Struthio camelus: one gene and its partner. The protein of the gene in region 1 interacts with the protein of each later gene in a biochemical or structural test. Links are inferred from orthologs where the notes say so. Each region holds a gene or a part of one and is shown on either strand. Other genes may lie near its edges.

Evidence for each region. The genes of interacting proteins can lie anywhere in the genome.
Region 2: the proteins of UBE2N (region 1) and RNF135 form a complex in vitro, tested with the Homo sapiens proteins (4 studies listed by BioGRID). The link is inferred for Struthio camelus from reciprocal best matches to the Homo sapiens genes UBE2N and RNF135.

The regions. Positions count from the first base shown.
Region 1 is NC_090942.1:51,333,093-51,340,367, reverse strand, and holds the start of UBE2N (ubiquitin-conjugating enzyme E2 N), read left to right. Parts: upstream 1-4,253; 5' UTR 4,254-4,390; coding exon 4,391-4,420; intron 4,421-7,275. UniProt on the Homo sapiens protein: The UBE2V1-UBE2N and UBE2V2-UBE2N heterodimers catalyze the synthesis of non-canonical 'Lys-63'-linked polyubiquitin chains. This type of polyubiquitination does not lead to protein degradation by the proteasome.
Region 2 is NC_090960.1:5,020,330-5,027,860, reverse strand, and holds the start of RNF135 (E3 ubiquitin-protein ligase RNF135), read left to right. Parts: upstream 1-4,525; 5' UTR 4,526-4,903; coding exon 4,904-5,254; intron 5,255-6,356; coding exon 6,357-6,443; intron 6,444-6,995; coding exon 6,996-7,199; intron 7,200-7,531. Other genes in the region: ADAP2 (arf-GAP with dual PH domain-containing protein 2), read left to right, coding at 134-196, 1,494-1,571, 2,182-2,400.

The sequences.
Region 1 (7,275 bases):
GTAGGCAAAATCCCAGGTTGAGTCAGGGAAGGCAGCTGTCTAAATGAGGATGCAAGACTTCATTATAATACTCTGGATGAAAGCGGATCATTTTTTTTCCCATCAAATCTTTATTTTAGCAAAAAAGGATGGTTGAAATACTTTGCACGTTTTGACAAACTACACAGATAACACTGTGGAAATCTAGTTTTTCAGATCTACTTTTTTTCCCCTCCTTTTCTCCTTTCGGGCCCCATGACTACCGAGAAACTTCTAACTTTCTTTAGGTAGTTTTAATGGTACTGCTATATGTGGCTTTGCAAAGTCTTTCTTGAAGAAAAAAGAAATAAGATAAGAAACCTCTGTGCCATACTGCTCAAAATATATGATCTGGCAGGGAAGAATAAACACATTTTAGTGATAATCTTGAACTCCAGAGCGGGAGTGTTGGAGTATCGTTCTACCAATGGAAGTGAAGAGCAGAGCCATACTGCACTGGGTCACCAGGGGCGCTTCTCCAAGGAAGCCTTCCAAGGGACATGCCAAATGGAGGCTAAGCAGATCAGAGCTGTGTAGGCTGCAGTCCAGATTACAATGGCAATAATGGCTGAGTGGAAAATCCTATGTTTGGAAGGACACTGGGGTGGCAAACAACTGGAAGATGCGAGAATCTCAGTGGAACATGGCTAGTATAAGGGACAAAGCTCCCTGGGCACTTACATGTCTTGGGTTCCAGCTCTGATTTAGAGGTTTAGGTTGGGATTCCTTTGGGAATTTTAGAAGATTATAAAAGAAGGATATTTTTTACTGTATCCCGTCATGGAAGATATCACTTGGTACGGGAGCAGCGCAACGAGCCAAAGTCTAAAGCCAGGATTCTGGAGTAGCCAGTCTGGATGGCTTTTTTGGCACCCATATGGATACTCAGGGATCTCTGCAGCAACTCTTCTAGGGAGCTAGAATGACTTATGGGAAGGACCTAAATTTTGGTAGATAGGAGAGTAGAAAACAAGATTTTTGTTCACTGTCATCTCTGAGCAAGTGGACTAGAAAAACCTCTTTCTAAAATGAGGCAGAAAGAGAGGAGTCATGAAAGCTGCAAATTTTCCAGCATGTGACAGGCCACTTATTGAGCAATGAAAACTATCAAAACACAATAGCTTGCCAGACAGACTTGTTGCAGCCCCAGACTGAAGTGAGATTCTTGGTCTACAACACCTGTAAGGGAACACTGAAGACAGTGTTCCTCAGCATTTGTCTGAGCCAACTATGCTCCACTCTCTCGCTGCCCCCAGCAGATGAAGAGCAAGGTTCACAGAGCAGAAGCTGCAGCACTTTCAAGAAAGTAGGTTGCACTTTATTCGCACACTGAGCCTGAATTCACCTTTTGGCCTGTGTTTTTTCCTCCGCTAACGCCAGCTCTTTAATGGTCAGTATTCCAGGAGAAGGATAAAAGAAAACAATGACAAATAGGAGGCAGAAACAAAGAAAAAGAAGTAATTCGGCAAGCAGAGTAACAACAGAGTTTGTTTTTTAATGGCTTTGGTCTTGAAGCTATGGCCCACTGAAGATTCTCTGATGTCTAATAAGACTTGGTGTCATGGAGTCTTTCCCCCTATGGGACTACCAACTTCCATTTCCTCTCTCTGCCTATTTTCATAAAATTCACAAGGAATCAGCCTCTCCACCTGTATTTTCAGATTTGGTTGATGCTGGCAAGTATGTACAAGGGTTACTAGGGTAGGGCAGAAGTCTTTCTGGTTTTGGTTCCTAAACTGCCTACAGTATTATGTGAAGTTCAGATAACGTGGAGAGAACATTATAAATAACTTAGATATATATGTTCCTCCTGCATATGTCAGCATACTGGCTAAGTCAGAATTGAGACTCCTAGTTATTACTGGGTGTCATAGCAACATGATTAGAAATATTTTCAATTATTCATGAAGCCTCAAGATTATATGAATGTTAATTCTATCTTTTCCATAACCCTCCACCCTCCGCTTTCTCTCCTGACTCCCTAAGCAAAGTTAGCTGTAATCCCATTCCTCAAAAGCAATTAGATGCTTTAACCCGTCCTCATGCTGCACAGTGGTAAGCACTTATTTATATGCTGGTCAACACTACATTGTGCTTGTCACTACATTTTTTTAATTCATTTACACTGCCACTGCTCTCCCAAGTGACAGACATTTTGAGAAGACATTACTATGTTTAGGCCTTTAAAAATTTACTGCAAAGTAAACCTGCATCTGTGAAGATCTGCGTACCAGAAATGGGTACTAAATATAGCCCCCACAATTTTTCAATGAAATAAGGATTGCTGGATAGCAGTTTTAGTACCACACGGGTTCTAAACCTGCCACATGAGCCCAGGCTGGAAATTTCAAGTTTAAAATGCCTGAGGTTTACATTTGCCCATATCAAGCACATTCTGCATAGCACAAATTTCTTTTAGACTCGTTGTCCCTGTTACATTTCAAAGAGGTGGGAAGCTGCAGTACAGTCACTTGGGAGAGACTTCACATCTGTGTGTGTGATTTCTCCTATTTGAATAAAAAAACAGCCATCAATCAATAAATCACCAATACCGCTAACCACCAGAATCAAACAATAAGACACTGTGCATCATCAAGAGGAGAACCCACGCAGCCTATATTATAACTGTTTATTATAAAGCACCAAGTATGCTACAGATACTTACATACCTGTGAAGCTAGGGAAAAACTGGGTTAATATCCAGTCGATAAAACAGGCTCCACCTTACAAATTTTTTCTCTAGAGATCAATGTTTCACCTTTTCAGGTCAGATGATAAGTCTTGTAAAGGGGATGATTACATAAAAATATCTAAGCAATCGAGTTTAGTCATACTTATGTAGTAGCAACAGGTTGTAATAATTAAGCAAATGAAAAATCCACACTTAAAAAAATTTGAGTTCAATGTATAAGCAGCAAGATGAGGATGTGCTAAAGGACCACATTTAAACACAGCGAATTTGCCAATAACACATGCAAACAAACTCACCCTACCCACTGTAGAATGAGGGAGGTTCTTTAACCCACATTCTGCAAACATGTTTTCATGCACTTGTGTTGCATGTCACCTCGATGTTGATTTTCCTGACTTCTGAGAAAGTTACAGCATTAAAGTTAGGAAAGCAATGAAGTGTTTAAAGGGCTGAGGATGTATACAAGAGTTTACAGAGGTACATATCTTTAATGAATTTGCATGAAATTTGAAATTACTGGTGTGTACAACCAGTTGAGGATACCGAATAGTGAAGCACAACTCAATACTTGTTAGTTGGCTTCTGTAGTGCCAATGGCTCAGAGAGCAGGACAAAGAAGAAAAACTAGGTCTGTTGTTGGGAAATATTGTGGGGAGGGTGAAGGAAGACACACCACTCTTCTGACATCTGTTATCATAACCACCATGTAATATGTCTGCCAAAAAAAAAAGCTATAAAATGTCTGTAGTCTCTGTGATAACAGCCTGTCAGCAATTACACATTCCAGATTTCAGTGTCAGAGCGCTTGCCACTCTACTAGAGCATATGGAAATGGCATAGGCCATCTACAAGTCCTGTTTCGAAGCCAGGAGAAAACACTTGACAGGGAATCACGTATCCCGGTCCGATTCCTGGCTGTGCTGCTAGCCTGCTTGGCAACCTATGGCAAACGGCATTGTCCCTATTTCCCATCATCAGTACAGCAGCAATAATGATGTGAGGTACTAGATGCTACTACTACTGCTGCACAGCTCTAGCAGTGTGTCACGGGATGCTCGCGTGATACTTACACTTACCTAAACGACCTCTAACTTTACACAAGGAATCTTTCGGCCAAAAAGAAGGAAATTCACAAAGTCATGATGTTCTAAGATGCCTTGGTGACTGCGGACTTTAGGGACACGCTTAGGGCCTAAGAGCAGGAAGCGGGCACCGTGCTGGCGCCCGGCACACGCTGATGAAGCCTCGACCCGGTCCGTGCCGAGCGACCGCCGGCAGGTGGCTGCGGCCCCTGAGGCTGCAGCCGACGGCACACGGCTCTCCCGCGGGGCTGCTTCCCCGTAACCGGGGCCGGCTCGGCAGCCCCACACGTCTGCTGCCCGCCTCGCCCTCCCCCGCCATCTTACACCCGCCTCGCGCCGCCCGTTGCTAACGGACGCCCGGCGGCGGCGCTGATGGCCCGCTGCCTCCCGCCGGCGCCCGGCGGCAGCTGCGGGCGGCGGGCAGGGCCCCGGCCCGGCCCGGCGCGGCTCGGCCTACGTTGCCCGGCGTGCCGCGGGCGGCGCCGGCGGAGGGCGGCGCCACCGGAAGCGCGGCGCGGGCTACTTCCGGCTGCGCGTGAGCCCCGAGCGGAGGCGAGACTCACGGAGCCTGCACCGCACCGCACCGCGACGCGACAAGATGGCCGGGCTGCCCCGCAGGATCATCAAGGTGCCGCCGCCGCCGTCACCGCCGCCGCTCCGCGGGAGGGAGGGGGGCCGGGCTGGGGCCCGCACCGCCGGCAGGGCAGGGAGCGCCGCTTCCGCTGACCGGGAGCGGGGCCGCGCGGGGGGAGGGGCGCGGCCGCCGGGCCGGTCCGGTCCGGTCCCGTTCGGTCCGGTCCGGTCCGGGCGGTCCTCCTCGGTACCCCCGCCATGCTGCGGCGGGCACCGCGGCCGCCGGGCCGGGGCGCGGCCTGGGCGCCGCGGCGGGAATGAATGGGAGCGCGGGGCCGGGCCTGCGCCGCCGCCGCCGCAGGCTCCGCGCCCGCCCGCGGGGGGCCGCGGCCTGCGCTGCTTCTGCCGGCCTGGTCCGGCCCGGCCCGGCTGCCGGGGAGGGCCGCGCCGCGCAGCGCCGGCCGAGGCCCGGGTACCGCGGCGGCGCTTAACGCGCGGAGGCCGGCGCCTGTAGGCCGGCCGGCCGCGGCCGCGGCGGGGGAGAGCCTGGCGGCCGCAGAGCTGCGGGGCCCGCGGCGGGGGGAGGCTGCCTGGTTTTAGCGCTTGTGCGAGGAAGGCTGCGCTGTGCGAGCGCTTGACCCGCGTCCTGAGGCGTGCGGAGGAAGGCGTTCCTGCTACTGTGAGTTAGGCTAACCTGGCGGCTGTTAAGCGCCCTCCGAGTTACCGGCTTTTAGATGATGGGTGTGTTAGCGCTGGGTGTTCAGTGCCTTACTTTGACTTACTTACCAAGCTCTGTAAGAACTGTCAACTTCGGGGTACTTCTGGCTGACCCTCTGAGTGCTTTATCACCTTAAGACTTGAGTGACTTGGACTGGAGGCACTCAAGGCGGATACTGTTAGCTGCACTGCAGCGCCAACGTGAGTCTTCTCCAGTGGCTTGGTCCTGTAGCCAGCGTGCATGCTTGTGCTGGGCTGCTAACTCCTGCTCTGTTCGCAGAAGTGTGACCTGAAGCTCTCGAATTGGTGATCAGTACTTTTGTAAGAGTTACTAAGTTATCCCACTAAGGTTCATTAGTCTTCATTGGAAATAATAGCACCATTGTTTCTCATTCGAGTGAATGAATGCCACAAATAATTTATAACACTGTGAAGCTCTTGTTGGTTGAGCACACTGAAAGTTGGCAACCGTTGTAAAACGCTAGAACACAGAATATGCTAAATATGCTTTAAAGGCAATCCAGTGTTATCTTTGCTTTGACTAAAGTTATATAATAGGTGAATAGAGGAGATGACGGAAAAACAAGGCAGGAGTAGCATTTAGCCTGTGTGAGGCAAAGACTAAATTATGCTTACTGCTCAGAATGGTAAGCAGTAGAAAGAATGAAGACAAATCTTATAGACTGAATTAATTTGATGCTCATCCAGCTGCCTTGGTGCACAGCATACAATGCTGAATATATCTCAGGTATGAGAGAGAACACTGTTTCATAATACAGTGGAACTGGTATTCATCATGAAGTGGTAAGAACTTGGCCACGAAGCTGATGTCCGTGTGTGTGGTTCCCCCTCCCCCCTCCCATGTTTTTAATAATTCTTGTGAACACAACCAAGAGATCCACGGTCCTGTAAGCTGGCACATAAGTCCCTTGGCATTTTTTCTTCAGCCACTTTTTGAAGAGGAGAAAAAAAAAAAGGAGCAATTCACACAACTTATTTCCAAGATGTGTAATGGCATGGGAATGCTTTCTGCTGCCCTAGGAAAGAGCAGGGGAGGAAGGGCAGCAGACAAAAAAGACCTAAAAACTCCAGTTTTCATGGAGGAGGGAATCCACCTCTAGACTCTTACAGGATTATTGTCTATGATAGGTTGGTGTGGGTTGTTTATTTCTGTATGTGCTTTATATATTGTCTGCAGGCAATCTATAGCTTTTGAATCCTGGATTAGTTGTGTTATGATGAACAGCTCCTGTACTGTGCTCGCCCTAGGTCGCTAGATGCGCATACAGTTTAGGATTTGAATGACTAGCTATTGTAGTCTCAAAAATGTGCGGAGTACTGTTTTGAAATGTCATAGCTGCAGAGGTGAAAACTTAACCTGCTTCAGTCTTTAGGAGAGACTCTTGGATGAGAATTTTTTTGACCTTTGCTATCCTGCTAACTCTAACATTAGAGTTAAATATTCTGTTGCTGGTTGCCTTAGATGGAAAGGAATGAGTAAATTCCACTGCTACTGGTAATTTAAAAAATCAGGAAAGGAAAAGGAAGAGAGAAAGATAGGTCAGAGAAAAGGGACGAGCCATAGAAGGCTGAAATAGCTGTAGAATCAGAAGATCCCCTTTTCTTTTTGCATAGTAACAAATGTACACAAGTAAATGGCTTTAGGAAAAGACCTTTTCCCTCTGATCTGTGTGCAGGCTTGGTATTGTCTAGCTACGGCCTATTGAGCATAGGGAATCGTGTGTATATTCTGACCATAATGAAATGCAGAATCTAGCCAACTGCTTGAAATGAGGTTGGCATTCCTCTTTTTGACCGACTGCTGGCAGATGGCCTGGCTCTCGGGTTGACTAGCAGCCCTGTGCTCTTCAGCCTGTTTGTTAGTTATGTGCAAACTGTGGCCTAGCCCAGTAGGAGAGCAGTAGCTTTCCCTGTCTCTGCGGAGCGCTCTGTTTTCAGTACTTCCCCAAATTCGGTTAAAAAGGTCACAGTATAGGTCCTGCTAAGGGTTTGAAACAGAGGATGCAGATTTACGCCTAGTTTTCAGATTTTCTGTCCTCAGATTAGTTACTTAGGAACGTAGGGTTTAAGCAACCAGCGTGAATGAATGAATCTGTAAGCTCAAGAGATGACTTGCTTTAGAGGTATGACTTAGTGGTGTTAGAACGTCACAAATGGCTAATAGAAAATAAG
Region 2 (7,531 bases), on another chromosome or scaffold:
CCTTTACTGAGCAGCCAAAGAAAAACCCAAGCCCCAAAAGCCAAAATTGATGGTGATTTGCTTTGACAGAAACAGAACAGAAAAGTGAGCCTGAATGAGATGGCTGACTTTTTTTTTTGTTTTGTTCTCCTAGCTCATACCCAGGATTACAAGAAATTATATCAAAGAAGGATATATGGAGAAAACGGGACCAAAGGTAGGTTCAGCTTACATACTTGGCAGTAGGCAAACAGGATTCTTCCAGATGGAGAATATTTGATAATGCTGTGGTGTTTAGTAGTAAATGATTTGTTGAGTGACTAATTGCTTCCTGGGTTGATAAAAGAGATTATATTCTAGCCTATAATGTTCTCTGGAATTCTGTTTAATTTTGTATGGAAAATAAGACTGGGAAGGAGGATCCTCCTTGAAAAGTAAGCAAGATGAATTAACTGACAGTGGAAACGCAAAGTGCTATTATGCAACACTAAATGGGTTGCTGTATCGTACGCCCATTAACTGCAGCTCTAGAATTGGCAGCACTCTGTAGAACAGAAAATCACATGCTGACTCCCCCTACTTCCCTCTTAAACTTGGTAGCACAGAAGTCACATCTGTTTACAGCAAGGAAATATGATAGAGCGACTACTTTGCAGTGAAGTCTATGGTTTAGTTTGTTTTTTGCGGGAGAGTATTTGGCTGCTACTTCTTGGAAAAGAATGGGAGAGGGAGAGTGCAGACTCTGCTTGGAGAAGGAGAGAAAGATCTGAGGTCTTATCTGAACACTGCTGCCTCTTGTCCTGCTCTCCACTGAATAAGCTCTGAGTCAAAGTCCCATTAAAAAGTTCAGTAGTAAAAGGCTGATATTGAATATATGCTGTTTTTTTGGCCCAAGTTAGTGCTAGCGTCCCAAAAGATCTTCCTGCAGGTCCTGGCATAGAGCATGCTCAAAGCCAACAGCATGAAAGATGATTTGTTGGTTTTTTTTTTTTTTTTCACTTAAGGCCTAAATTCTGCTCAAACTGCAGTGAGCCCTAGAAGAGGGCCCTTAATCCATCAGAGGAGTGAATAGATCAGGGCATGCTCAGATGAGCACAGTTGATAGAATTAGCACTTTTTAAAACTTAAATTGTAAAAACAACCCCCAACCAAAATACGGAAATGGCCTGCACACACTCTTCATGACAGCCACTGGCCCAGGATCATTCTCTGCAGTGTTTTCAGTTAATCCATTTGCTGCAACTTTCTGAAACCTGATAGTTTGATCGCTTGTAGAACCAAACTGTCCTGCCTCACCTAAAGGATTGTCATTGAATACAAATCTCTAGTGTGAACCCAGAGAGAAGGGAGCTGAGGTCTGCACATAGCAGTGAGTCACCTATTACCAGTTATGGTGCTAAAGTGACACTGAACTCAAGCTTGGAGACAGAGAAGCAGCTGAGGGGTCTGCCCTGAATAGGTAGAACTCTCCTTTGGGACTTGGTCTTTAAAGAACTTCTGCCATCTCCTTGCAGCAGAAGGAGGCCTTTAAGGTGCGCTGGTTCAGCCTGGACTCTCAAGAGAGGATCCTGATTTACTTTAAAAATCCACTGGTAAGAAGAGTGTTCTTCACTATTCCACAAGCCCCTTCATGGAGTGGGGAGTGCTGTTCTTACCCCACTTTGCCAGTGGCTGCGCAAGACTGAGACAGGTGCTTCCCAAGAGCTCGTCTCCTTTGTTGGTGGATCTCTTTGGAGCAGAGCAATTTGGGAACTCCAGCCCTCCTAGTAGCTGTGAGGAAGATCTAGGTCTTTTAAAAATCACTGCACCTGCCACGAGAATTTATAGTCCACTCACTCCCACCCGTGTTGCAGGTGTGTATGTAACATTAGGGGAATACTAATAACAGAGGCTTGAGAGCCCCTATATTGTGCTTCCTAACTCTGAATGCTTCCTAACACTTTCTAACACGTTTCACCCCAAGAATATCCTGCCATGCTCCTTCTGAACACCTACCAGCCAGCTCTGCAAGGATGGGTCCTTACTTCTTTCTTTGGAGAATGCCTGTGAGCACAAAAAAGCTCTGTTGTGTTTTCTGTTCCTTGTCATCAGTGTCCCCTCCATGGGTCCGCAGTTCCTGCTCCATGCCAAAGGATGGAACAATGTCTGCTGGAGCCACACTGTCAACTGGCTAATGGATGTCTTCTGATTCTTTCTTTCTAGGATGCATTTGAACAGGGCCATGTTTTTATTGGAACGACGGATAAGGGATATGAAGTACGAGCTGGCTTTCCCCAGGGAATCCGAGTGAAGAAGAGGAAACCGGGGATCACTGTGGTCACACCAATGAGAGAGTTTGTGTTTATATGCGAGAACGACAGGGAGCAGAGGGAGTGGATAGATGCTTTGAATGGAGTCCTTGCCCAGCCTTTGACAGGCTAAGACTAGCACAGAGTTGCAGTGAACTGCACTTTTGGGTTCTGTTCAGCGCTGCTCTGTGGCCTCTTTCTGTTGGCAAGGATAGTGCTCAAGGCCCTGCAGTGAGTGACTAGTACCGAGGACTTCTTCCTTGAACAGCTGCAGGCACAAGAAGAGGGGCAGTAGAGAAATGAGTTAGAGGGGGATACGGATGTTTAGAAAGGATCTGTGTCCCTGCAGAACCTTGCATGAAGTGTCTTCTCTCTTCCTTCCCTTGTCTGTTTTTGAGAGGAGGCAGCCTTCCTCGCCTGAGGTAGGGATGAACCAGCCAGCGCTGTCTTATGGAAAAAGAGGCAAGGTCAGCAGAGAAATTCTGACGCCAGGAGAGACTGACATGCATTTCCTTGAGGACCCCTGTAGGTGCTGTTATACCAGATCCTCCCGCTCTGGCCTCAGTCTGAGGTCAGAAGAGGATGCCTATACATCCTGTAGGATGATGTATTTGACAGTTTGGCACGTGGCATATATCCTGTTGGTGAACATGATCATCCGTTACTTGAGTCCATACAACTCGTGACCAAGAGGCAAAAAGATCATCACCTACCAGGAAGATGCAGAGTGTCCTGTCGGATAGACCTAAAATGCCAATTTGTGCTGGAGTTACTGGATGTCTTACTGTGGGAGGAGCACAGCCAAGCAGCGGCTGCATACTCTGGCAGTCACTGAGCACATGTAAAGCTCAGGAGCTGTGCTCCACCTGCCTGCAGCTCCTCTCCAGACAGGGACAGGGTTGTTTTCAGTGGGTTTAATGTCTTTTACAGTGTTGTATTTCTGGTACAGAAATTATAGAAATAAAAGTCATGTTTGAATTGTAGAGGATACTGTAATGGACTCAATCTGATGACAAATACCCCTAGCTGCTTGCTTTTGGCAGTCTCTGCTATTTGACTCTTCTATAACTGGCAGATCTGACGTGTGAACATCAAATTTTTCCAAAGCAAAGCTGGATAGTGGGTGCCCCAACCAAGGCATTATGAGTTCAGGATGAAGATATGCTGACCTGTCCTACCTCCGGGAAGTCCAGCTGAAGCTTTGGGTTCTAGATTCACTTAATGAGTTGGTCTAATATGGGGACTGAAAGGCAGAAGCTACTTTTAAAAGTGTTATCTTCAGTGACCTGCTTGAAGACACTCGGTGAATAAGTACCAGCACTGGAAGTGGAGGGTGAATGCCTCCTGATCGGGTGCCACTTAATCTGTTCCATGCAGAAATTAGTGAAGATTTACATGGGCTGATACAGTGCACTGAGCTTTTTCTTGCTGGACAGAGTGTAAGGTTTGATTCTGCCAAGCAGCCAGTCATTCAGATATTTGATTCTTCTCTTTTATACTGCCTTAGTTTGCAAATCAAGCGGAAGTCTTGCAAACTAAGTTTCTGGTAAAGCTGTCACCTCTTGCTGATGCTTGCCAGCCAGTCTGAGATACCCAGAATAGTTCTCCTCTTCTGCAGAAATGAGGAAGTGCTGATATGTGCAGGGATTAGTGAGATTAACTTTGTATGTGTGTGTGTGCAATAGTGGGCAAAAATGATTTGAGTTGGATCTTCATTCTGCCTGTCTCAGCCAGCTCATCACCATCTCACCCTGAGCAATCTGCAGCAGGAGTTTTGCTTGCTTATACGCTCCCATAAACTCCCGTGTTCCCATTCTCGCCACACAGCCCAAATTCCAGTTTGTGGTGATTCAGCAAATCTTGTAGCAATCTGATCCAGCAGCCACCGAAATCAATAGCAAAGCACCTGCTGACTTGTATGAGGAAGAGTATCAGTCTTGGTTTGGTTTTACACACCTGAGTAACAGGGGATGATGCTCAGTAGGGAGCAGGCCACCCAGTAGCCTAAACTTCCTGGATGGTGCTGTGCTGGTCCCACTGAGCTGTGTTACTTGCTCTCCCAGACGGGTCAGTAGGCCAGCCCTGTCAGCAACTCTACTGAGACTTCTCTAACAAAACCAGGAAACTCCCTGAGAAAGTGAAATAGTGCAGATGCGACAACTTTTTTGCCAGAGTCAGTAAAAGTCAAGGCCGGATCACAGAGTGCTCTGCATGACAGTTCCTTTCTAAGTCAAACCAATTCATAGACCAGAGCTGCCAGAAGAGGGGAGTGCTGGGCCAGGCACTGAACTTTCCGGCTGCGCCCTGCGTCTTGGCCTGGAGTCTGTGGGAGCCTCCCGGCCCGTTTCTGCTCCATCCTGCCTGCCTGGGGTGAGCTCGGCAGCCTCGGCCCAGCTGTGGGGCCCAGCCGTGTGGGTGGACCCATCTCCACCGCAGCACAGCAGCCTCTCAGTGGAGCCAGCGTTAGAGGAGAGGCACCATCCTGCGGTGTCCTTGGCTCTCTCCCTTCGCTCTCGGAGGGGATACCCTGTCCCCACCATCCCATTGCCGTCTCCTGGCTTTCGCACACAGAGGGAGCCTCTGGGAAGGCAGGAGGAGGGGCGCCTGTGGGAACCGAAACTGAAACGCCAGAGATCATGGCGGCCTCTGTGGATCTCCGGCAGCTCCAGGCCAAGCTGGACTTGAAGTGCCCATGCTGCCTGCTGTACTTCACCGACCCCGTGCGGCTCGCAGGCTGCAGCCACAGCTTCTGCCGGTCCTGCATCACCACCTACTACTGCAAGGTGAAGAGGAGCGCCGGCTGTCCGCTCTGCCGCGAAGGCTTTGAGCTGAAGGACTTACGGCCCAACCGGGAGCTGGCCGTTCTGGTGAACTTGGTCCCCAGGGAGGAAAAGGAGAAAGAGTGGGAGAAAGAGGAGGAACCGGAACCGGCCAGAGCTGGCGCCTGGGGTGGCCAGCGCTCAGCAGGGCGGAGAGAAGCCGTGAAGGTATGGCCGGAGGCCGCCCGGGGATCCTGCTAGCGGCAGCCCCCTGGGACAGGCAGGGACAGCCCAGGGCTCCTGCCCTCACCTCCCCAGGAGATCCTGGGGCTCCTGCCCAGAGTAACCCCCAGGGATACCCTTCTGCAGGGCTGTGAAAATGGGGATGAGGCTGGAACTGAGTTAACTTCATCTGTTTTCTTGCATTTTTTTTTCCTTCTGGCTACTTTGCATTTCACATGCCAGTTTAGCATTCTCATAACAGTATCACATTGAGAGGGCTGCATATATGCAAAAGGGGTGCTACGAGAGGATGCTGGAGCACTACCTGTTGATCACCGAAGGGCTAGAGACTTTAGATGTCTGTAAATATATCTTCACTTGTTTTCTTTTTCTTTCTCTCCATCTCTGTTACTGTCTTTCGTTTCCGTCTCCATTTTTCACCATTGCCTTATTATTCCTCCAGTTAAAACTAGCAATGGGCAAACAGTGTAATCCCAGCGTGTGGTATCCCTCGCCTTGAGCGCTGAGCATCCTGGAAGACAGAGCGTTGCTTCAGTTGTTTTGTATCCCAGTCCCTGTCTGTTCTTTCCCTCCTCTTTTCATAAACATCTTTAAGCGGTGTTATTTATTGCACAGGCTTAGCTGGAGACAGCTAACTGAAACATAACATTATTTATACGGTGCTACAGCTCCCCCTAGCCAAACGGCACAAAATGCCTCTGGTTCATTATCTACGTCTCTGCTTAAAAAGAAAAAAACTTTAAACAACTCCCACATTTTGATGGAAGAGATGAGCAAAATCTGACTATTGACTCGCATTATTTTAGCACTATACGCACATACGTACACACACAAGACAGTTATCTTCAATCTCTGCAGTCAAGCAGAGGGCTTAAGCTCATAATGACATTTGAACATGTAATTGTTGAATGTTGACTTTGCTGTGATTATTCACACTCAGAATTAATTGTGAGCTCTACCCCGCTTTGAACCAGTCAGTGCATCGCTAATATCCATGATGTAGGGGGTTTTATTACTCTGCTGTATAACGTAGTCATGTTTTCTCTGAGTGTTATATAGATAAACAGTCCAATGTGTCACTTTAAAGGAGGAAGAGATAAGTGAGATCTCCAAGCAACTGGAAATGACTGAAGAGACCATCCGCCTCTTGAGGGAGGATCTCAGTAAAACAAAGGTATGGATGTGTACGTTCATTAACTGCAGTTAACTTCTGTTTCCACATCCACCTGGAGAACCTGACTGACACCAGTGCAGCCTTCTAGCCCAAAGCAGGGATTTCCTTTTCGTTTCCTTTTGCTCTCATACCTCTTTTTTTTTTTTTTTCTGCTGAGTGTGGACTATGGCACCAGCTGCGTTAACCCCTGCCTTAGCTGGCGCAAGGGCCACAGGAGTTGCATGTTGTTGTCTTTTTCTGCCTATCCCAGGAGCAGCCTGGATGCTTCTGGAACCCTTAGAGGCAAAAGGCAAGGCATGAAGAGGGAATATTGATCTTTGCGAAGATGCTGACCAAAGACTGCTGGCCATAAAACAGTCAAGATCCGTAACATGCTCAAAATCCGACTGCAAGCAATGCAGGACAGTGCAAACATGTTTTATTCCTTTAAATAAAGACAGCTGCTACTGGTCTGTAGACGTCAGTCAAAGTGCATTAGATGAAGCACTAGCTTCTCATATTACACACATCTTTTCTACAAACACAAAAAACTCCGTGTTTTCTGCCTTCCAGGAATATACATTTCAGATCAAAAGCCAGATTACTAAAGATTTCTGTTGCATGAAGGAATACATTGAAAGGCAGGAGAGAAACACACTGATGTTCATTGAACAAGAGCAACAAGCAACGCAACAGAAAATTGAAGAGACTATTGACCAGCTCTGTGTTGAAGTGAACAAGCTCACAGACATCAAAGCCCAAATGGAGAAAGGACTGGTAAGTGATGAAACGAGGTGGCTGAATGTAAGTAGAAACTCTTGAGCTAAATCTCTTAAAAGGCTGAACATGTACAGAGCCCTTTCAGATCTCCACTGCACTATTCTCACTAGTTACCACCGTTACTGCTGCCAGTGAAAGTTTGGAGTGGAAAATTCAGAGGGGAAAAAATACTAGAACAGGCATAGGCTAGAGATGCAAATTCAGAACTAGACTTGTTCCGAGGAGGTTAGTGAGCTGGAATGAAGTGGGGACTGCACTTGCTTAAATCCAGTCCTGAGTCAAACCTGAGGTTAAGATCCTTTATTATATTTTTATTTGTATATTCCAGA